Canis lupus familiaris: one gene and its partners. The protein of the gene in region 3 binds, or shares a complex with, the protein of the main gene of each other region. Links are inferred from orthologs where the notes say so. Each region holds a gene or a part of one and is shown on either strand. Other genes may lie near its edges. The genes, in order: FGFR1, API5 and FGF2.

The links.
Region 1: the proteins of FGF2 (region 3) and FGFR1 are in contact, whole or in part, in a crystal structure (PDB 1CVS), measured with the Homo sapiens proteins. The link is inferred for Canis lupus familiaris from reciprocal best matches to the Homo sapiens genes FGF2 and FGFR1. Residues at the interface, in NP_001997.5 of Homo sapiens: His158, Phe159, Lys160, Lys163, Tyr166, Gly170, Phe173, Arg186, Lys188, Leu197, Gln198, Ala199, Glu200, Glu201, Arg202, Gly203, Val205, Ser206, Tyr215, Val230, Glu238, Leu240, Asn243, Asn244, Tyr245, Asn246, Leu282, Pro283, Met284; in NP_075598.2 of Homo sapiens: Glu162, Lys163, Leu165, His166, Ala167, Val168, Pro169, Ala170, Asp246, Val248, Arg250, Ser251, Pro252, Val279, Ser281, Asp282, Pro283, Gln284, Pro285, His286, Ile287, Ala314, Gly315, Val316, Thr319, Asp320, Glu324, Gly344, Asn345, Ser346.
Region 2: the proteins of FGF2 (region 3) and API5 are in contact, whole or in part, in a crystal structure (PDB 6L4O), measured with the Homo sapiens proteins. The link is inferred for Canis lupus familiaris from reciprocal best matches to the Homo sapiens genes FGF2 and API5. Residues at the interface, in NP_001997.5 of Homo sapiens: Asn169, Arg181, Arg223, Lys261, Arg262, Thr263, Gln265, Lys267, Lys271, Lys277, Ala278; in NP_001136402.1 of Homo sapiens: Asp145, Arg148, Glu184, Asp185, Val186, Thr187, Glu190, Glu219, Asp222, Gln225, Asn228, Asp231, Arg237.

Annotation. Positions count from the first base shown.
Region 1 is NC_049237.1:27,765,075-27,772,685, reverse strand, and holds the start of FGFR1 (fibroblast growth factor receptor 1), read right to left. Parts: upstream 5,061-7,611; 5' UTR 4,972-5,060; intron 4,607-4,971; exon of another isoform or gene 4,589-4,606; intron 4,588-4,588; exon of another isoform or gene 4,478-4,587; intron 3,364-4,477; exon of another isoform or gene 3,130-3,363; intron 1-3,129. UniProt on the Homo sapiens protein: Tyrosine-protein kinase that acts as a cell-surface receptor for fibroblast growth factors and plays an essential role in the regulation of embryonic development, cell proliferation, differentiation and migration.
Region 2 is NC_049239.1:26,743,500-26,751,220, forward strand, and holds the start of API5 (apoptosis inhibitor 5), read right to left. Parts: upstream 4,257-7,721; 5' UTR 4,152-4,256; coding exon 4,083-4,151; intron 1-4,082. UniProt on the Homo sapiens protein: Antiapoptotic factor that may have a role in protein assembly. Negatively regulates ACIN1. By binding to ACIN1, it suppresses ACIN1 cleavage from CASP3 and ACIN1-mediated DNA fragmentation. Also known to efficiently suppress E2F1-induced apoptosis.
Region 3 is NC_049240.1:18,278,686-18,285,785, forward strand, and holds part of FGF2 (fibroblast growth factor 2), read right to left. Parts: intron 4,188-7,100; coding exon 3,620-4,187; intron 1-3,619. UniProt on the Homo sapiens protein: Acts as a ligand for FGFR1, FGFR2, FGFR3 and FGFR4. Also acts as an integrin ligand which is required for FGF2 signaling. Binds to integrin ITGAV:ITGB3.

The DNA of each region.
Region 1 (7,611 bases), on a different chromosome or scaffold from region 3:
CTGTCCTCTCCTAAGTACTAATACGTGTAAGAAGTATAAACATGGTGCTTAGTGCTCACTTCGGCAGGACATATATATAACCATGGTGCTTTGAGTCACTCCTTGACAGCACTCTCAGGACACTTTGGTAACTGATGGTAGGAGGACTCAAACTTCCTATCTTTACAAAGGTATTTTTTGCTATTCATCTTCAAACCCTATATTCTAGACCAAGGTGTCCCAGGCAGTGGTCACTCACTAGCCACTTGTTGGCTACTGAGCCCTTGGAATGTGGCTAATGTGAATCAGGATGTGCTAGATACAGGACAGACACCTCAGGCATCAAAAACTTGGTGTGGGGATCCCTGGGTGGCGCAGCGGTTTAGCGCCTGCCTTTGGCCCGGGGCGCGATCCTGGAGACCCGGGATCGAATCCCACGTCGGGCTCCCGGTGCATGGAGCCTGCTTCTCCCTCTGCCTGTGTCTCTGCCTCTCTCTCTCTCTCTCTCTGTGACTATCATTAAAAAACAAAACAAAACAAAACAAAAAAAAAAACCTTGGTGTGGAAAAAAAAAAAAAAGAAGAAGGGAAAGTATCTTATCAATAATTTTTTACATTGGTTACATGTTCAAATGATAGCATTTTGGATATATGGGGCTAAATCAAATAGATCATTAAAATCTCAACCAATTAATTAATAGAAGCAAGCTCCACCTCTTTCTATTTAATTTCAAACGTGGCTACTAGAAAATCTAAGACCACATGTGGCATGTGTTCTATCTCTATGGGCCAGCATGACCCTACGCAATCTCCATGCTCTGCCCTCTTCTTTGCTCGTCCACCATCTTTAATGGGGCGCCGCTTTCTTATTCTCTGAATCTCACCTCAAAAAAAAAAAAAAAAAAGGAAGTTATCTCTTCCATAAGTCTTTGAGCCTTCTAGCTAAGGATCTCATTCTTCTGAATTTCCAAAGCTCACAAGCTCCTTAAGAAGTAGGGTTTGTGCCTAACTTTCACTAATACACTTAGTTCCCAAGATGTACACGGCAGATGCTGACAGATTTGTTAAGTGAATAAGTGAATGAAAGAAAGGCCAATTGAAAAGAAACTCTTACAGATACTCTTGCAAATGAGACATCTTCTATACATTTTGATTCTTCAGACTTAAGGAAGTTAACACCAAAACATTGATTTCTTTGAAGACTTATTAATTTGTTGAAAAAAAAAAGTGTCCAAATGTCCTTGGGAATGAGCTATACCAAAAATTAATAAGTGAAACACTACCTACTCCACCATAATCCGGGAAACCTTGCATTTGAAGACAAAATGGACTGGTGGACCACCATCATATCCTTGGAGTTGTTCACTCAGGTAACAGCTATCTACTTGGTGGGGGGGAGGGGGGGGGGGAGGACCAAATATATCTTCTTTAATTGCGAGTTGGAGAGGTAGTGAGGAGAGAATGTCTGCTTCAGGTAGATGCAACCTTAGGGGGAAAAGCGAATATCCTAGCCCAAGTGTGGTACTTAATCCTCTCTGGAAAAAAAAAAAAAAAAAAAAATCCTCTCTGGAAACAGCAGAGTCTTCTCTAAAGCTCCACATCTGGACTCCCACCAGTCTCTGGTGCATTCAGACCTCTGACATAGCTCTTGGGAAGGCAAACGCAAGACAAATTTCCCAAGAGGAAATTAAACTCATCTCAAGGGATGAGGCTTTTTTCAGAACAAGACATTTGAATCAATTCTACCTCCCTTGCCTCTAGCAGCAACAGGCGCAAACTTTACCAGGAAGCTCTTCCCTAAAAGACATTTAGATGAAAGAGATTTAAAAATGGAGGCAAGAAGAGTGCGTCTGTAGAAGCTGGCTGTTAACGGCCCAAGCTCACAGGAGCAAATCTTCTATTTCAGGAGTCTATTTTTTTCAGGACAACAGCCCAAGCACAAAGCACACAACTAAAAGCAAAAACCCATGGCTTTTTCCCTGGGTCTCCATGGCTGGAGTCTGTCTACTCAATGTTCAGTGCGCTCTTCCTGCCGTCTGGAGTCCGACAAGGCTAAAGCCAGCTCACGCATAGGGATGCCTGGATGTATTCTAATTTCCCTAAAGACAGATGAACAATAACAGTATCTGCAATGCTCCTCCTCTACTTCTTCCTATGCTTTTGCTTCACTTGCTATTCTATTGGAACTTTCTAACAACCTCCGTGGCCAGAGGCCAAAGGAAAAGAAACACCCAAGGCTGCCTACTTTGGAACCAAAATAAGTGGTGCCCACTCTGGGCCAAATCCCATTTTGTGAAGATGCCCACAAAATGGGCATTTGTACAGGCATAGTCAAAAGCAGGCAGCAAAGCCACCCATGGCCAAGCAGCTCTTCCACCGGATGGCCCTCATTAAAAAGCTGACACTTAGTGATGACTAAGACTGAATGCAACAGATATTTCAAGGAGCTCGTCACTAATGCAGTACAGAACCATCCCAGCTGGAGCCAGGCCCCAGCAACCTCCCAGTCCCCAAACACCCTGTGTTCTTCCAGGGGTCAGTGGCAGCCCTGGAGCCTCTCCCCATCAACTGGGGGGAAATATGTAAACAAGTCATCAGAGAGGCAGGCCATCAGGGCAGGGCAGGCCAAAGGCAATGGGTCTCCCCTTTGGTCACTGAAAGGAAGGGAGATGACCCAGGCTTGGGGGTAATTAGCTAGACAGAGGCTCGTCCCCCGGGGGCCCTGCTACTTAGTTTTTAAAGCCTCAGAGATGGAACCGGGGACCTGGGCCAAGCAGGAAAAATGGCCACTTTCTGCTAAACAGTCTCAAGGCTAAGATTCTACGGTTTAGACGGTATTCCAAAAAAAGCTCTGGTCCGGAGGTGCAAAGGGCAGGGCACATCTGCGGAGGAAACAGTCACCTTAATTACCATGTCTAGAGAAAGTGCGATTTCATTACAGCCTCCAAAACTACCGCCCAAAGGAGGAAACCAGAGAAGTGTTTTCAATTTGAAAGAGACTGGTAAAGAGAGGGTGAGAGGGACCGGCTCTCCCCGCCCTCGCGCAACTTGGACCATAAGGTGCCTTCCTACCTCAAAGGATATAACCAAAACACAAAAACCGAAAACAAACCCACAAGAACCCCCAACGATGCAATGCCCGCTTTCAAACCTGGAGCCGTTAAGAAGCAGATTGTCCCACGTTAGCTTCCAGGGGCCGCGGCCCACTAACTCCCTTCAAACGCACAGGGAGAGCCCCCGGCGGCAAGAGCATCCGCGCCCCTCGCGCGTCCCCCGCAGCTGCGCCCCGGCTCGCTCGGGGAGGGTGGAAAGGCGAGCAGGAGGCCACCAGCGGGTGGCCAGAGACCCGACGGCGACTCCGGGCCGGGCCGGGCCAGACGCTCCGGCGGCTACAGCGACAACCCAAGGGGCGGAAAAAGCAATGCTCTGGTTCCAGAAACTTCCATCAGAGCCAGTTCTGGGTCAAATCACAACCCACGAGGCCACCTCCAGCACATGCCCCGTTCGCCAAGTGCCAACCCCCCTAGAGCCCCCCCCCTCCCCCCCCGGCCCCATCTCCTACGATGCCTTCTTCCGGCACTATCGAGAGAGCGCCGCCACCCTCAGATCCTAAATAACTTGGGACCCAGGGTAACTTTCTTTTCTCCGCAAATCCCAACGCCTCAACTTCAGTCTCAAAAAATGTTGAGGGAGGGAGGTGGTAAGGACAAGTGGAAGGATCCCAGTTTTAATGTGGGTGAGGGGGAAGGGAGGGAAATGTTAATGGGGCTGCGGTGTGGGGTGAAACGAAACCAGATGCGGCGGCTACATCTGGAAAATGGGGGGAAAAAGTGTTAGGGGAGGAAGATACCGCAGAAATTTTTTTTTTTTTTCTGGGCCCAGAAAGGAGAAGGAAGCTTCACCACCACCCCCGCCACCCCCGCCCGAGGGGGTCTGGCTGCCTTCATAGGTTATGTGCTCAACGAACTCCATCCATCCGCAATGTCAATAAATTTCTCTGCAAACGAGGGTTCCTCTGTTCCCAACCCCACACATAACGGGAGGCGGGAGCGGGGTGGGCAGAGGGTCTGAGCCAGAGAAGCAACATGCAGCGCGGCCGAGTGCACCGCACCGGCCAAACCCTCATCCCTTCCCCCACCTCCTCGAACCAGCTTGGAACCGAACGTTCCCCTCCCCCCCCGCGACCCCATAATGGGGCTTAACATCACCCGCTGGGCGCCCTCCCTTCCACAAACTTCCGACCCTTTCTGAGATCCACTCAGTAGAAGATAACCCCCTCTGGAAAAGGGAATTCCTTTCTCGCTCTCTGCAATAGCAGATTCAGCCATTTGGTGACGACACCTCCTTAAAACCTATTCCAGGAGAAGCTAACCTACCCCTCCTCTTCCTTCCCCCTTCTCGGCCCTCTCCGCCCACCCCCAAGCGCGACCCCAGACTTCCCTCGAGGTGGAGGAAGACTTAGAAAGACCCCGGGGCTTTAGCGTCCCACGCACAGCTACCTGCTGGATTGGGGGGAGTCCCCACTGGCGGACTAGAAGGAGATGGGCCGGAATGCAGCACACACACGCACACGCAGTCCCCCCACCGCTGCCCGCTCGCGCCCTCCCCACCTCGGTCCGAGGACACCGCGGGCCGCCGCCGCCCTCGCCCTCGCCCTCGCCCTCGCCCGGGCCGGGTCGCTCCCAGGACTCGCCGCCGCCGCCGCCTCGCCAGCTCCCCGGCGCGAGTTGGCGGAAAAGTTGGGCGGCAGGAGGAGCTGCGGGACGAGCGCGGGGAGGGGGCGCAGGAGGCGACGCGAGCCGGGAGGGGAGACAAAAGGGGGGCGCGGAGCGCCGGGGAGGGGGTCGGGAGGCGCAGGCAGCGGGTAACGACCGGAGGGAGGCGCCGGACTCGCCCGGGCTGCGGCGGGGAAGCACGCAGCCGGGAGGCTCCAGCGCCGGGGGCCGCTCGGACGCCAAGCCCGCCCCGGATCTGCGGGCGCCGCGGCTCTTACCTCACTCGGCGCTGCGGTTCCGCCGCTGGAGAGTCCGCCGTGGCTCGGGCGGGCGGGCGGGCGCCCGCGGCCCCGGCTCCGGCCCGCCGCCCCCGGGCTCCGCTCGGGTCCTGGCGGAGCCGCGAGAGCCCCGCGGCCGGCGCTCGAGGCTCAGCGCCTCCGGCCCGGGCGGGAACAATGGAGCCGAGGCTGGTGCCCCGGAGGCGGGGCGGGGGGAGGGCTCCCGTCCGCCGCCCGGGGTCTCCAGACCCTGCGGCCCCCTCTCCAGAACCGGGCGGCGGCGCCTCACGCTTCTCGCAGCCCGGGCTCCATCGCCCGGCGGGGGCCCCGGCCCCGCGGCGCGCCCGACTGCAGCCCTGGGACTGTGCGCCCCTCGCACCGGCGGAAAGTCCTGGGTTTCCGCGGCTTTTCCAGCTGCGGCGCGCGCTCGCGGCCGGGGAAGGCGAGGTCGCCGCAATGCGCTAAGCGGAGTCGGGTCGGGTCGGGTCGGGACGCCGCCGCCCGGCTTCGGGCACGGCCCGGGCTCCCCGGCCGCAGCGCGCCGGACCGGACTCCGGGCTCCCGCTCGCCGCCCGCCGCCCGCCGCCCGCCGCCCAGGCCGCCGCACCAGTGCCCGCAGGAGCGCTCCGAGCGCTGTGCGCCGGCGAGGCGCGAGGGCTCGCGCTCACTCCCACCCGCGCTAGTCCCACCCCCGCCTCCTCCCCCTGCTGCTGCCTGCTGGGCCTTGTAGTTCCAGCCGCGGCCCCCGACCGCGGGGAGCGGGCTCGGCGGCGCGGCGCTCGGCGGCAGCTTCCCCGCAGTCTGAGTCCGGGGCGCGCGGGCCTGGCCTCGGAGCCCCGCCCGCTGGGCGCCCGGGGTCCAGGCGGCGGACACAGGAGCGGGGGGCGGAGGGGGGAGGGGGGGGAGGGGGGGCGACGCCGTGGTCCCGAGGGTGTCCCTGCCAGCACCGGCCTTGGAGTCGCACTGACTGCGTGCCTTGGGGAAATGACTCTTCTCGCTCCGAATCTCAGTTTTCTCATCTCATCTAAAAGGGGGGATAATAGCGCTTTTCATTAGAGTTGAGGATGAAGAGAGGGCCTGCCACATAGTTAACAGTCAATAAATACAAGCTGTATTTTATCCGTGAGAAGGTCTACGCCCCCTTCGGACCCTTCCCTCCCATCTCACGGTTCCCAGCCACAGAGTTTAGGTTTTTGTGGTTTACCGGGAAGCGGAGGTTGGGGGGGGGGGGGGGGGTGCGGGCTACGAATGCTGCAGCACCATTCTGGGCCTCCAGAAGTCTTCAACCTGCAGTGAATTTTAGGAAGCAAAGAGTGAGTGGTGGGAATCGGGCATGTTATTGGTTTGGAAATTAATCAGAATCCATCCAGAGTACCTGAGGAAAAGGTTCTGTGGAACCCGAGGAAGAGTGTCTAAATGCCACTATAATCTATAATCTTGCGGCTCCCTAATCCAAATGCACATAAATTCTCTGGGGAAATTTATAAAAAATACAAATTCCTGGACCTACTCAGACCTAAGGAATCAAGATGTGCCAGAAAGGAGCCAAGAGTCTGTATTTTTTCTGAGGCTCCCAGGTTGCCAGGGTGGGGCCATTGGTAGGGTGAGAAGTATGTCACACTAGGTATGAAAGATGCCTCTATTCTGGTCCCCTACTTATGAACTGTTTGATTTTGGACAAGTCATACATGTGAAAAAAAATCAAGACTTATTTAACTATTACATTGAGACTCTCTCAGAAGTTTGTCACGATAATCAACTAAAATAAGTGGTGCAGCGGTTTAGCGCCAACTGCATGCAGCCCAGGGCGTGAAACTGGAGACTCTGGATGAGTCCCACCTCAGGCTGTCTGCATGGAGCCTGCTTCTCCCTCTGCCTCTCTCTCTCTCTCTCTGTGTGTCTCTATGAATAAATAAATAAAATCTTAAAAATAAATAATGGATGTCAGCACACTAAAGTATTACACAAATAGAAGTCACTACCTCAGTGTGCCTTGGTGGCTCAGTCAGTTAAGCACCTGACTTCTGGCTCAGGGGCTCAGGGTCAGGATCTTAGGGTCTGGGATCCAGCCCCACACTCAGGGGGGAGTCTACTTGGGATTCTCTCCCACTCCTGACTACTACCTCAGTGTGCCTTGGTGGCTCAGTCCATTAAGCATCTGACTTCTGGCTCAGAGGCTCAGGGTCAGGATCTCAGGGTCTGGGATTGAGCCCCACACTCAGGGGGGAGTCTACTTGGGATTCTCTCCCACTCCCTCTGCCCCCTCCCACTCATGCGCATTCTCTCTCTCTCAAATAAATTTAAAAAATCTTTTTAAAAAGTCAGTATGTAAGTGAAGGTAGGACGTATACTTCATTGCTACCCCACAAAACCCTCAATCTTATGGAAGCTGGAATACTGAATGAGATTAACCTCCTTCCAAATTTAAGGAAGTAGTCTAAGTTATTTCTCTATTTGACCAGCAAGTGAAAGAACAGTAACCATCACAGTGTCATTCCCATAGTAGGAGTTCAATAGCTATTTATTGGCTAGCCAGAGTAAATATTCAATATATATTTGTTGAATGGTTGAATAAATTAACAACCAAATAAAAAGCAGGAGGTCATGTATTTGCAGAATAAATGAACTTTAGCCATGGTT
Region 2 (7,721 bases), on a different chromosome or scaffold from region 3:
AAAAAGCTACGGTAAGATCCACGTTCAGCAGATTTCTACAATAAAAAAATTTGTGACAGGGATTGTCAAAACACAACCAATATATTTAAGTGATCAGTGACATGCCAGGTAAAGCCATGTTTGAGACCAGGATGCAGCTTCTAAGAAATAAACAACTGTTTTCTCTATTAAGATTTATTTATTTGAGGGGGGAGGGGGCACGCTCGTGAGCTGGAGTGGGAGGAGCAGGAGGAGAGGGAGACTCTCAAGCAGACTCTGCCCAGCAGAGTGCTGCAAGGGCCTGGATCTCACAACCTGAAGACCATGACCTGAGCCGAAACCAAGAGCTGGCTGCTTAACCAACTGCACCACCAGGCGCCCCTAAACAATTATTTCAGAGAAGGAACAATGTAGTTTCAACATATTTCTCAAGTATCACATAAAAAGAAAACAGATAACGCAAGCTTTATTTACTACTTTCTTAACTCAATAAACCTAGTTTGTATGTAATGTGGCTGACATACAGATGTACAACATAGTGATCGGACAGTCCTACATATTACTCAGTGCTCGCTACAATTAAGTGTAGTTGCCATCTGTCACCATCCAATATTATTACATTATTGACAACAACACTTTTACTTATTTTTCAGAGATTACCAACTTGGCTGGTCTGTGATTTTAGCTAACCATGCAAAAAAAGGCACCAAGAGTGCTATTTCATGAACTTATAGAAGTCCATCAAGCCTACAGTCTTCCGTGAAGAGCCAGTATACTCCCAGGTAAGAGAACAAAGGAGAATTTGGGAGTTCAGGCATTACTGAGCTTAGCTCAGCCTAACTGCCCCAGTCCCTTCACAGGGGTTTGGCTCTTTTCTTTTTTTAACTTAAAAAAAAATTTAACTGCATAATACAAAACTAAATATATCTAAATTTAAAAATTAAATAAATTCACAAAAATTAGAAACAAATGTAAATAGTGGACCACAGCTTGCTCTATTATGGCCATTTGGGTGCTCTAGGCAGAGTACAGTGGGAAGGGGGTTGGGGAGTAAAGGAACACACAGCGGAGGAAGGAAAACTGAGGAAACAGAAGCAGAACCCAAGTAGGGGGAAGGGGAGCTGAACGGTAGGTGGAAAATAGGAGCTACAGGAGGGAAGACGACAGGGAGACTGGAAGGTTTTGAGGCACTGTATTATGCTTCAGTTAGAATTTATCACTTGATGTTTGCTTATTAGAAAACACACTCATGCTTTAAATATATGATGTGAGCGTATAAAGTTCTCATCTTCATTTACATTATGTACACACAGTAATTACATTGATGTAGGATTTATTATATAGCACATTACATTAGTTGTGTAATTATTAACTTTATTATTAATATAATTATACTTCCTCTTTCTCTGAATGTACTTCTACTTTAAAGAAAAAAATGTCTACTGAAAAACAAGGCACAGTGTGAGGAGAGAGACAAAAAATAAGTCTTAACCTCAAGACTTTATAATTTAGTAAGGGGATAAGAAAAGTCCTCAGGGAAATAAAATACAAGTCTCAAGTATTATAAATGAATTCACAGCGCCAAGGAGGTTCATCCAGAGAAAGATCTGATCTGTTTGAGGAAAATTTGCCGATAAACCTCGGAGAACTTGTGTTTTTCCTAATATATTCCAAAAGCATTATTCTCAAAGGAGTATTGACAGTAGCGAAGAGGGCACTCCCTTCATGGCAGCAGCACGAGCAACTTGGTACTTAGCTCTTTGACAAAGGATAAAAATAAACATTAGAAGTTCTAGACTAAAAATTCAAATATGGTCTCCGAAATGTTCAGATAGGTACCTGCCAAGAAATGACCCTTGACTGTAAACCTTGTAAGTTAAATGAAAATCAGGGTTTGGTACACTAAGAATGTAAACTCTCATTAAAAAATCATCAGGGGCGTTCCTTCCATTAAGTTGGCTCTTGCTTTTAGTTAAAATTCACATGCAATATCCTGAAACCCACTATCTTTTTCAATATGCGTTTTAGGATTTTTCTCTAAAAAAGGAAAAGTTATTCCACAATAGGGCAGAATTAGTAGCCACTACAATTTGGCCAGCTTCAGTCCTCGCAGAATTCACTGTCTGAGGCTGACAAGTCCCTGCACTTCATTACGCACAGGTCTTTTCGTCTCAAACAGTTGCCTGACAGCTGTCATTGCAGTGTCGTGAAGGTGCCGATCTAACATCCTGCTAAGGAATCGTGCTAAAATTTTAGCAACTAGCACAGTGTTTAGCACGCGGTAGGCGCTCAAAGAATGTACTGAATAAATGAAACCGTGGGTCTTCACTGAAGCCTGAATGAAAAAGACCCTCTTCGTTTTTTTTTTTTTTTTTTTACAAACATGTCTCTTAAACGCTCTTTCCAAATTGAAAGCAGATTTATGCCTTGAAAAAGACGTTTCTTGAACGTCTTGAGGGAGAACTCTCACTCTTACCTGGTATTTAAGATTAAAGATGACACTAAAAGGAAAACGTCAGCCACTCTCAAGTATTCAGGACGGATCTGTGAAATTCTAGTTTGGATTCTGTTTGCCCTAAGACTCTAAGTAGGTGGCTGTCAACTTTTTTTTACTATACAGCACAAAGTGAGGGCGCAGGTATGGGACATGACCATGTTTACTGCTTCTAGTTTCCCTAAAAAATTCCTGACGTACGTCTTTGGGAGGCATATCCACAAACTGAGAATCACTGTTCTAGCTTCTACCTATCTCCTCAGCTGATCCGCGGTAAAGTCAATTTCAGGAATAATTTGCCACAATCTTCCTCAACTCTATCACGATGAAGGAGAATACCTTCACTACTAAATCTTGCTAGGGACAACAACGACAAGATCAAAATATGACTGATGATGGGTTTTCTAACCTTGTCTTACTGGGCCGAAAATTCCTCCCTGGGGGCTGACCTACACTCACCTGTCCTACATCCTACAACACGCCCTCGGTACATTTCTCACTGACGTCTTCAAACTTCCCTAACAGATGGAAATATACAGGGGAGGAAAGTAGCCTGGTACTTTACGCTGGTGAATCTGCAACTCTGGGGGAAGCTTAAGGAAGGCCCCGACATCCCAATTCCGGTGGTGGTGTTTGGCTCAAAAAGAATTTACCTGAATTACGCGTGTCCAGAAAAAGGGGGCCGGGAGGGCCGGGCCAACGACAGGACCTGCCACTTCCCACTCGGCCGACAGAGGAGCAGGGGAATCACACGGGGTTCTAAGCACCGAGAAGACGCGGCCTAAGATCTCTAACAACACTGATCAGCCGCGCTTCTGGGGGAGCCGCTTCTTCTCCACCAAAACACGCCCCCCTCCCAACTCCGTAAGTTCAGTGGACTGGGGTCCCTGAAAACTCGCAAAGGAGCCCAAGTTTGAGCCCACGCTCAAACTGTGTCTTGAGGACACACTGCGGGGGGCTCCTGCGGCGGTTGTTTACAGCTGCCTGTCCCCCCCTGCCCCACCGGTCTGTCTCCTGCACAACACTTTCGGGAGGGGGGGCGCCCATCCTTCTTATTTATCACTTCCCGGGCGTAAGGGAGGCACCCATCCTTCTTATTCACCACCTTCCGGGGGGCACCCATCCTCGTTCACCACTTCCTGGGGGGCACCCATCCTTCTTATTTATCACTTTCCAGGGGGAAGGGGGGCACCCATCTTTCTTATTACTTCCTGGGGGAGCACCCATCCTTCCTATTCACCACCTTCCGGGGGACACCCACCCTCGTTCACCACTTCCCGGGGGGGCACCCATCTTCCGCACCCTCCTCACTCACCCCTTCCCGGGGGGGCCCCCCAGCACCCATCCCCCATCCCCCCCCAGGGCCCGACCCAGGGGCGCCCGGGGAACTCTCCAGGCCTCAGCCCGCGCCCCGCTCCCGCTTCTCCCAACCCGCGCAGGGCCGCTGTTGCTTCGCCGTGTCGCGGCCCGAGAGCTCCCGGTTGGCTGGCCAAGGGCGGGGCTGCGCGGGGAGCAGCGGGGGGCGCGGCGGGGGGCGGGAGCGGGGGCCGGGCCTGGGGGCGCCGCCGGAGGCCGCGGGCGCCGGGCCCTGCAGGCCGCGGGGACCCACCTGGCCCACTTGCTCCGTGGCGTCGGCCAGGATGCCGTAGTTGCGGTAAAGCTCCTCCACGCTCGGCATGCTGAGCGCCAAGCCCGGGCCCGTCGCGCTGTCGTCGCGCTCGCCGCCGCCGCCGCCGTCCGAGCCCGCGACCCGCACCCTCACACCTCCCGCCGCCGCCAGGGCCGCCGCCGGTCACCGCGCTCAGCCCGGCCCCGCCCCCCACGTCTGCGGAGCGCGCGGCGCGCAGGGAGCGGCCTCCACGGGCGGACGGCGCGCCGCCGGGGCCGCGAGCGCCCCCTGCCGCCCGGCGGTGCAAAGGGCGGCGGCGGCTCCAGCCGCGCGGGCTCCTGGGAGCGGGGAGCGGGGAGCGGGGAGCGGGGGGCGGGGCTCCCGGCGGCGCGGAGGGCGACCCCGGGATGCAAGTCGGCTCGTGGTCCACGAAGGCGGCTGGGACGGTTCCAGCGGGGAGCCGCAGAGGGCGAGCCAGCTCACTGTGTGCAGAGCACGCTCCCGCAGTGGTCAGCAAACACTTGGGCTCACACGAGGATCGTCACCGCGGGGGCGCCCCGGGGGCGCTCAGCGGCGGAGCATCGGCCCAACGCTCAGGGCGTGACCCCGGGTCCAGGGATCGAGTCCCGCCTCGAGTGCTCCCTCCTCTGCCTGGGTCTGTGCCTCTGTGTCTCTCACGAATAAATAAATAAAATCTGCTAAAAAAAGAATATTAAAATAAGTAAATAATAAATATGAAATATGAAATATAAAGAAATAAACAAACTAATAATAAATGGATATAAAATATAATAAATAAATAAATAAATAAATAAATAAATAAAATAAATATAAAAAGGGCGCACAAGGAGGAATTGCTGAGGTTTGGCTCGGTTTTGTTTCTGACAGATGTGCTTAGAGACGTGGGCTGCCGAGGGCCCGGCTCTCTCTGTCCCCTGAGCCTGGGTCCCTTTGGAGGACTCCAAACTCCCTTTGGAGGACTCCAATGCCGGTGGCCGGAGATGCCAAGCCTGCTGCTGAAGGCGTGCTGAGCAAGTCTGGCTCCCCTGGGGCCGCAGGGAGGAGGTGGGGACCTGGGGACCGACCTGCATCCCGAGCTGCTGCGGGAGCCAGGGGGCGGGCCCTGCGGCTGGGAGGTGAAGGGCCATCCAGAGGCCCACCCCAGGGACCTTCTGCCTGAGAGTGACAAAGCCCCGTGACAAGGGTCAAGGGCAGCAGGGACAAGGCGGTGATGGAGGACAGTGAATCAGCCCCTCCTGGAGGTCCACACGGCGGCCCAGGCCTGAGACCTGGTTTCTATCAATGTCTGGAGTGGGGCCCGGTGGAGAGAGAGAGAGAGCGCGCGCGCCCCGTGCAGGCGGGGGAGGAGCACAGGGAGCCTGACTCAGTCTCCCTCCAGGACCTCAGGATCGCCACCTGAACAGAGGGCAGCCGCTGAACCCCGGAGCCACCCAGGCGCCCCCAAGCCCTTCTTGGGTACTAATGTCCCCTCTCCTGGCTCCCCTAGTGCCCGGGAGGGCTCAGAGACGCCTTCCAAAGCTAGGGATGCGGGGCAGAGGGGCAGGACAGGAAGGAGGTCCCAGCTGGAGCAGAGACCTGATTGCAAATCAAATTTGGCCTGAGGGTTCACACGTTGGCATGGGCAGTTTCATTTCTGAGCTGAGGACTGTCTTTTTCTAAAAATTCTATTTATTTATTCATGATAGACATAGAGAGACAAGCAGAGGGAGAGCAGGCTCCTGGCGGGGAGCTGGATGAGGGACTCGATCCGGGACCAGGGGTCACCCTGAGCCCAAGGTGGACGCTCCATCGCTGAGCCCTGGAGCCTCTCCTTCAAACCTAATCTTCCCTGACTTTGCAGGTAGCTTTATTGAGCAGCACGCCCTGCGTCCTCGGTGTCTGTCTGTCCGTGAGCATGGGCATCGGGCCGCTGAAGTTCTCACTCCTCGCGGACTCTCTTCTGGAGAAGCCTTACACCATTTTTTTTCTTTTTAAGAATTTTTATTTATTTTTGATATCACACACGGAGAGAGAGAGAGAGAGAGAGAGAGAGAGAGAGAGAGGCAGAGACATAGGCAGAGGGAGAAGCAGGCTCCATGCCCGGGTCTCCAGGATCGCGCCCTGGGCCAAAGGCAGGCGCTAAACCGCTGCGCCACCCAGGGATCCCCGCCTTACACCATTTACAGCTCGCTCCATCTCCGGCTACTCACGGGAGCCAAGGCCCGGGCTGGGCCGGGGGGTGGGGGTGGGAGGTGGGGAGGTGGGGGGTGGGTACTAATGACTCGTCTCATAATAACCAAGCTGTGCTTAGCCAGGACCAGCTCCGGCAGGCTACCGAGCGGATTCATAGAGCTCCGTGGGCAGGAACCCCCGTGCCACCTCCAGTCCAGACGGACTGCGACCCGGAGGGATGCACGCAGGTGCCCCCCCCAACCCCAGCCGCCCCGGGGCTGCGCTCTCCATTAGGGAAGCACAGGGTCTCCTGGCCCTCCCCAGTGTGCACCCGCCGCCTCTCACCCCTGCCCCAGCCCCGTCCCCCTGCTTCTCACCCCTGCCCCGGCCCCATCCCGCCGCCTCTCACCCCTGCCCCAGCCCCGTCCATCCCACTACATCCAATCAAGCACAAGTCCCAAGTCTGCTCCCGAATCTGTCACACATTTGTCTCTTCGTCACCCTTCCTTCTACCCCAGGTCAGGCCCCATCGCCTCAGGGTTGCGTGGTGGTCACAGTTCTTTAAAGATTTCCTTGTGGGGCGCCTGGGGGGCTCTGGGTGAAGCGTTGCCCTCGGTTTGGGTCATGATCCCGGGGTCCTGGGATCTCCCAGGAGCTGCATCTCCATCCCCCCCAACCCCCACACCTGGCTCATGCTTGCTCTTGCTACCTCTCTCTCTCTCTCTCTCTCTCTCTCTCAAATGAACGGTCTCAATAAAAAAAGCTTCCCTGTTTCCAGTCTCAGCTGACTCTACTTTTCATAATTTTGACTTTTTCCTTTAATTAAAGTAGTATTAAGAATAGGGTACTGTCCTAATACATTCAAATAATACAAAATATTTCCCATTAAAACGAAAAGTTCATCTTCATATCTCTCTTCTCTAGAGAGAACTATGGCCACCAGTAGGGTTTATATTTTTATAGGCCTTTATATGCAATATATAGTTTTAAATAAATATAAGTAAACAGTAGCACATTGCACATTTTGTTCTGTGCCTGGTTTTGGTTACTTAGCATGTGTTTTGTAGATCTCCCCATGACAGTAGTGCCTACTATTGAGGTATCACAGTTTATTTATCTGTTTCTTTAGGGGCATATGGGTTGCTTCCCATTTTTCATTACCACAAAGTCTGAGAAATGGGTGACTTTTAGGGGCAGCCTGGGTGGCTCCGCAGTTTAGCGCCGCCTTCAGCCCAGGGCGTGACCCTGGAGTCCCGGGATCGAGTCCCACTTCGGGCTCCCTGCGTGGAGCCTGCTTCTCCCTCTGCCTGTGTCTCCACCTCTCTCCTTCTCTGTGTCTCTCCTGAATAAATAAATAAAATCTTTTTAAAAAAATGGGTGACTTTTATTTCCTTCTTTGTGCTTTTCTATCTTGCCCGGTTTTTCCAAAATGAGTTCCATAATTTTACGTATATCCTCTTTCTTTGT
Region 3 (7,100 bases):
TGCATTTTACAAGACGTCTGGACAGAAAATGTTAATAAATCTCTCAAAGATTTTCAGGTCAACTGGACAAAACAGTTTGAGGAACAAGATCAGCAATTTTCAACTTTTCAAATAAGTCTGGCTATCTGAGCCATACTTCAGTGGGAAACTGTGGCAACCATGAGCTCTTGCTTTTCTTTCTCGGTGTTTTCTGGTCAGTCTTGTTTGTTTGGGTAATGGAGATGTGGTTGGGAAGATATGGTTATAGCACATCCATAATCATGTTTTTTTCTTGTATCCAAAGAAAGTCTAGCTCTGGTTTGGTCAACTATCAGTACATCTTTGACATGTCAGAAAATATAGTGTATTTAAACTTATGTCCAGGTTGGGCTACACAGAAGTGGTCTAAATTCATCATTTAGGTTTTTATTCTCGTCAGTCTATTACCTGGTAAAAGGTGATTTAAAAAAAAAAATTCAATACCTTCCACAAATCTGGAGAAGTATTCTACTCTTCACTTTTAACATGCTGTCTTTAGCTAGTTATCAAGTAGGCAGGATTCTCAACCTTAGCACTATTAACATTGGGGGTCAGAAATTTTTTAGCTGGGGATAATGGATGTATCCTGTGCATTGTAGGATGGTTAACAGCATCCCTGGCCTCTACCTATTAGGTACTAGTAGCACCCTTCCAAATGTGAACCAAAAATGTCTCTAGGCATTGCCAAACGTTGGGGGTGGTAGGGCAGGGGCAAAATCACCCCTCTGAGAACCAGTGAATTAAAATAAGATTATGAAAAACTCATAGTTAGGAAGAAAAAGTCAACAGCTGTTATTACAAGGGCAGTAGTGTGCTATGGCAATTCAGAATTATCTTCCCACACTAGCCCCTGTACAGTTTTACTCTAAAGGAAAGAGTATCAAAAGCTTCAAAGAAAAAAAATGATGCAGCAATTAAGAAGTGTCTCTAAAAAAAGAAAGTACTAGGGGAAGTCTCAACATGAACCTAATCTGGAGGAGAGTTCTTCTGTCTTCTAATCATAGAACATACCTTTTTTATTTTTATTATTCCTTTTTTTAAAAGATTTTATTTATTTACTCATGAGACACACAGAGAGAAAGAGGCAGAGACACAGGCAGAGAGAGAAGCAGACTCCATGCAGGGAGCACTGGGACTTGATCCCAGAACCCCAGGATCCCACCCTGGGCTGAAGACAGTCGCTCAAGCGCTGAGCCACCCAGGCATCTCTATTTATTTTTAATTACAGACCATTTGTGCTACTAGAAAAGAACAATACTATTTGGGACATATAGGCACCTGGCCCTAATCTGCTGTGCTAACCTAGCAGCCAACTGCAAAATAAACTTCAAACACCAAGTTTAAAACTTAGGTTTGTGAAACCTATTCAAGTTACTAAAATAGAGAAACAGTACTAACACATATTTATTGGGTTACAAGCATCTTTTCAGTTTTACTGGATAATGTGGGTGCTTAATAAAATCCAAAAATTATGGCATGCCTGAAAAAAAATTAAAGACCTGTATCATTTGCTTGTTGCTATTTTGGAATCAATAAATACTCCAGCAATATAAAAGCACATTTCCCATTCGTTTGTCAACTCAGGTTGCTTGAGCTCAGGTCAACTCAGGTGGCCTCTACCTATGGCTCCGCAGGTGTGAATGACAGACATTCCATGAGCAACTTTTGATAAAGAGGTAACTGCTGTGGAGTGGAGCTCTGGACTCCTGCTGGTCTTTTGTCAGGCAAACAGAGGATTGGATTCTTCACCTGAAAAACCACTAAGGAAGGCCAGACACACAGCTTTTAAAACGGATGTTTTACGCTCTCTCACAGGATGACAGTTAAAATATACTGATCCTCTTTCCCTCATTTCAAATTCCATCAGTGCTGTTAATCAGTCCATTTCATGCCCCTTTCCTCCTCTTTTCTATACATCACTGGGTCTCAAAGTGTTGTCCCAGGTCAGCATCACCTGGGAACTATTAGAAATGCAAATCATCAGGCTTCACTCCAGCCTTCAGGAATCAGAAACTCTGGGAGACAAGGTTGGGCAATGGCTATAACCCCCACCCCCCAAGTGATTCTAACGTACCCCTCAAGTTTGAGAACCAATGACTGTAGGCTAGTGTTACTTCTATACCACAAATGGATTGTTTTTTACTGAACACAAAAGTGTACAGTAGTAAACCGAGTCCTCTGCGCACTTGGGAGAAATTCTCATCTGATCCTCAAACCTGATGCAAGGTAGACATTATCCCCACTTTAAGAATGAAGAACCTGGCTCAAGGTCCCGAAACTAATAACTGCAGGTGGAAGATTAAAGTTTTTGCAGTTCTTGTCACTATTAAAAGAAAAGTGTGTCACACTTTATTAACAAAGTCTATATCTTTTTTTTTTTTTTCAAAGTCTTATCTTTTGCCCTGAAAGCTTTCGGTAATTGGGAAAAAGGGGGAGGGGGGGGGGAGAGAGGAGAGGCTGTCCAGGAAGGGTTCCATCAATGGTGAGCACCAGCCTCAATGCAGAAGCGCTCCAGTATCTCCAAGGATACATTCAGGCGGCCAGTGTGACACTGCTTTGAACAGCACTTTCCAGATTGGCTAAGCCCACGATGGTTTCTGAGGAAATCACATAGATATCTGAGCATTAAAGCATTAAAGCAAGTTTTCCTTTTGAACTTGTCACAAATTCCATCTTGTAAAGAATATTAAATGTTGCTTTAAGCTTTTCCTTGGAAGGGAAGGGAAGGGAAGGGAAGGGAAGGGAAGGGAAAAGGTAAGGGAAGGAAAAGGAAGGGAAGGAAAGAAGTGAAAGGCACTGACACTGTCAGACGTCCATTCATTCCCACGACCCCATCCCTCCACTTCCGTTCCGTTCTGTCCGTCATCGCCGTCCTTCCTCCGGCCTCACTCCGTCCTTCCTTTCCCCCCCACTCTCCTTTTCCTTTTCCCTCCCCCTCCCTCCCTTTCCTCTGTCCCTCCCTCCCTCCCTCCCTCCCTCACTCCCTCCCTCCCTCCTCCTCCTCCCTCCCTCCCTCCCTCCCTCCCTCCCCTTTCCTTCCCCTCTCCCCTCCCCTTTTCCTGCCCCCCCCCCCTACGAAAATGCGATCCCTAAAAACACGACAAAGGACTGAAGAGAAAAGGGACGAGATGGGTGAGAGCAGTGTGCCAGCTGGCTCGGATCCTACCAAATCGGAGTTTAAGGGCACGACTCTGGGAAGGTATTTTTCCAATAAAGAGCATTTATTCCGCTTGGGTCCCTCCTGCTTGGGCTCCCGGGCCCGGGGCGCGCAGGGCGAGCCCGCCCACCTCCCCGCTCACCTCCCCGCCCACCTCCCCGCCGCTGGGCATCCCCGCGGCAACAGGTGGTCCGCGCGGGGGGGGGGGGGGGCGGCGAGGCCCGGGTCTACCCGGGGACCTGGCACAGCCCGGAGCCTGGGGAAGCGCCTAACCCGACGCCGCAGCTCCGGCGAGGAGGGGGCGAGCGGTGAACCCGAAACCGCGAGGGCCGCGCGGAAAGGAACCACACGTCCCGCTGCGGTCGGAGGGAAGGGAAGGAAGCGGCGGGAATGGGGCGGCGGGGGGACCGCAGGGAGCGCGGGGAAGGGCGGGCCGGCACTCACCGTGGGGATCGCTCTTCTCCCGGACCCCGTCCACCCGGCCGTCGGGGTGGATCCGCAGGAAGAAGCCCCCGTTTTTGCAGTACAGCCTCTTGGGGTCCTTGAAGTGGCCGGGCGGGAAGGCGCCGCTGCCGCCGTCCTCCGGCAGGGCGGGCAGCGTGGTGATGCTCCCGGCTGCCATGGCGCCCCCGGGGCTCTGCCGGGGTGTCCGCGCCCCCGGAGCCGCGCGAGGAGCCGCCGCCGCCCCCCGGCCCCGGCCCCCGACCCGGTCCGGGGCGCGGCCACGGCCCCGGCCCCCCAGCCTCCCGCCCGGCAGCGCGCGGCCGCGCCCGCGGGCCCCCAGCCTCGCGCCGCCCGGCCGCTCCCCTCGCCGGCTGCCCTGGGGAGCTGCGCGCGGGCCGGGATGCTGCGCTCGGGCTCGGGCTCGGGCTCGGGGAGCTGCGCCCGGGGCCGGGGAGCTGAGCACGGTCTCGAGGCCGGGGAGCTGCGCTCGGGCTCGGGGAGCTGCGCTCGGGGCCGGGGCCGGGGCCGGGCGTGTCCGCGGCCGCCGCTCGCGGGAGGGCCGCCTCCCCTAGCGCAGCGCCGGCACCAGCAGCCAGCCCCGGGCACCGCGTCGGCCGTCTGGCAGCGGCCGGGCCGCGGCGTCACATCTTCTACATCCCCACCCCCGAAGGCCCCCCGCCCCCCCGCGCCCCCGCTCTCCTCCCTTCCTGCGCGCCGCCCCCTCCTCGCTCCGGGCTCCGTGGGGCCGGCCTCTGGGTCGGGAGCCGCGGCCGCAGCACGCAAGCGCGCGACAGGAGGGGTGGGGGGGGCGAGCGCAGGGGGCGGGGAGGTGCGGAGGGCGAGCGGGGGGGCGGCCGCGGAGGCCGCCGCGGCTCTGGGACTCGACCCCGCGAAATTCCCCCGAGGTCGCGCCAGCCGGGGCGCACGGGGTCCGTCTCCGCGCTGCGGAGCTTTGGCTGTGCCACCCGCCGTGACTCTACTTTGAAACGTTTAAAGGCAACTTTCTCCCCCCCCCTTCTTTTTCCTTGTCAGCGATTCAAAGCCAAGAAACGATTTCCACTCCCCCCCCCCCGAAGTAAAGGAATCGGAAATGGGGGGGGGGTGATTCTGTGCCCCGTGTGGGTTTTGAACACCTCTGATCTCCAGAAGGGGCCTGCGTGGGGCGCACACCGGTAAACTTGAAGGCGAGGCTGAAATCTTTGACTAACAAAAGGAAAGAAAGAGGCCAGAGGAGGGGAGCAGACCGCATTGCTGGGAGTAAAAGGTTTTCCTTCTACCACCCTGGCTTGAAGTAGACGACGTGGAAAGACGAGGAGAGGCCTCAACCCCTTCTGTGATGGAAGGGTGCTGCTGTCTTACTCCGAAGCTGGCACTAGCCTTGGCGAAATGGCTAGGTGTTCCTAGGAGGGAGGGTAGTTTTCTGAGAATCCCAAACTACAAAATTGAAGTTAATTGGATTTGGGTAATTTTCAGTAGAATAGAACAAGTACTACGGATTAGTCAAATATTCATCCAGAAAGTTTCTTAGTCTCAAGTGTCTACTATATGCAAAGCATTTGCCTAAGTTCAGTGGGAGGTGCTGGATCCCACAGGACCTCCGGACAGAGGTGCGATCCATGGGCAGGATGAACACCACAAAATGCCCCTAGAAGAGTAAAATGAGGTGGTGGTGTAAGATGTCAGACAAGGGGTAATTCAGTTTTGGGGGTACAATGGGATTAGAGAAAGCCTCTAGGAATATGTGAGAATACCTCTATTTAGAAAGATGTTTGGTTTCAAAAGATCAGCGCATCAAAAGTATCTGCTCTAAGTCTCCATGAGAGGTTTAATGCATGTAGAGTAAATCTACATGCATTTCTATGTTGGTAAATAGAAGACTGGAGCTTTAAAACCAAGCATACTCTTCTCTGGGCTGGTATATGTTCTCTGACCTCTCCAAAATGGACCGGTTTTATCTGCACTGCTTATCTGTTAAAACAAATAATCCCTTCCAGGGATCCCTGGGTGGCTCAACGGTTTAGCGCCTGCCTTTGGCCCAGGGCACGATCCTGGAGTCGCAGGATCGAGTCGCGCCTCACGCCTGCTTCTCCCTTCTCCTGTGTCTTTGTCTCTCTCTCTATATATATATTATAAATAAATAAATCTGAAAATAATAATAATAATCCCTTCCGGATGATCTCTGTAGGTATCCTAGGGAATGCTTACTGGTACTATAGCACTCATCAGATTGCCACTTACTTTGTAAGAAAGTAGATTTGAATAAGCCTTGAACTCTGTCAGAGAAAGCAGAGTATTCCAAGAGCAAAGGGATAAAATCTAAATCAAAACATTTTTTTAACAGTAGTATCCAGAAATCTGAGGAACAGCTACATGCAGTCAAGTAATTTGTATGCTGATGGACTGTGGATCTCAAGGAACTTCATTACATGTACAATAACCCCTTGTTTCCTAGTCCTTCCAAATCCAGGAGAGGAGATATCATAGGAAATGGTTAATCCAGTTCTGGGAATCTAGGTTTCCAAGATAAATAGTGTTAATTCCAAGAAGACATCCTTAAGATAGTTGTCTCAAGTTCCTACCCAGCCCCCTCCCAACACACACTTGTACACATGCAGAGATAGACACACTATTCTTAGATGCAATCAATTTGTTCTTACTGGAACTATGAGTGGTCAAGTTACTTACATTCTCAATTTACCCAGCTATAAGGATGAATATAAAAATAAATGTAAGACAACGGGTACAAAACTCATTATTTTTAAAAACCACTAAGTTCCAGTGATAACTATTTAAAAACTTTTACAAAGGAAAGAGAAATTTATCTCACCATTCCAAGATAAATTGCTTTGAAATTAAGAATTGTTCAGAATCCAAATGATGAAAAACACAAAGATTTAATGAGAGTTAAAAAAAAAGCCAGATGTTCCTGGATGGAAACATAGTAAAATACAAATGTAAGATTCCTCTCACCATGTTTTAAAAATTTAAAACCATACTAGTTTAAATTGTAGCACAGTTTTCAAAACTATACAAGAGTATTGTAAAATTCATTTAGATAAATAAGCATAAGAATAGCATATACTTTTTTTAATTGTAGGGAAAAATGTGAATGACTTTTGAAAGGATTAAAAAGATTATAAAATATCTTCAATGGGGGAGGATCCCTGGGTGGCTCAGCGGTTTAGCACCTGCCTTTGGCCCAGGGCGTGATCCTGGAGTCCTGGGATCGAGTCCCGCGTCCGGCTCCCAGCATGGAGCCTGTGTCTCTGCCCCTCTCTCTCTCTGTCTATCATAAATAAATAAATAAATCTTAAAAAAAAAATCTTCAATGGAAAATTAGGCATCATCTAGGTATCTGATTCTATGGAATCTCTATACTTTTCATTGAGCAACTTTACAACTTAGCTTTACATACTGTAGCTAACTGTCGTGGACCGAATTGTGTCCCTATTTCTTCCTGATTCCTATATTGAAGCTCTAA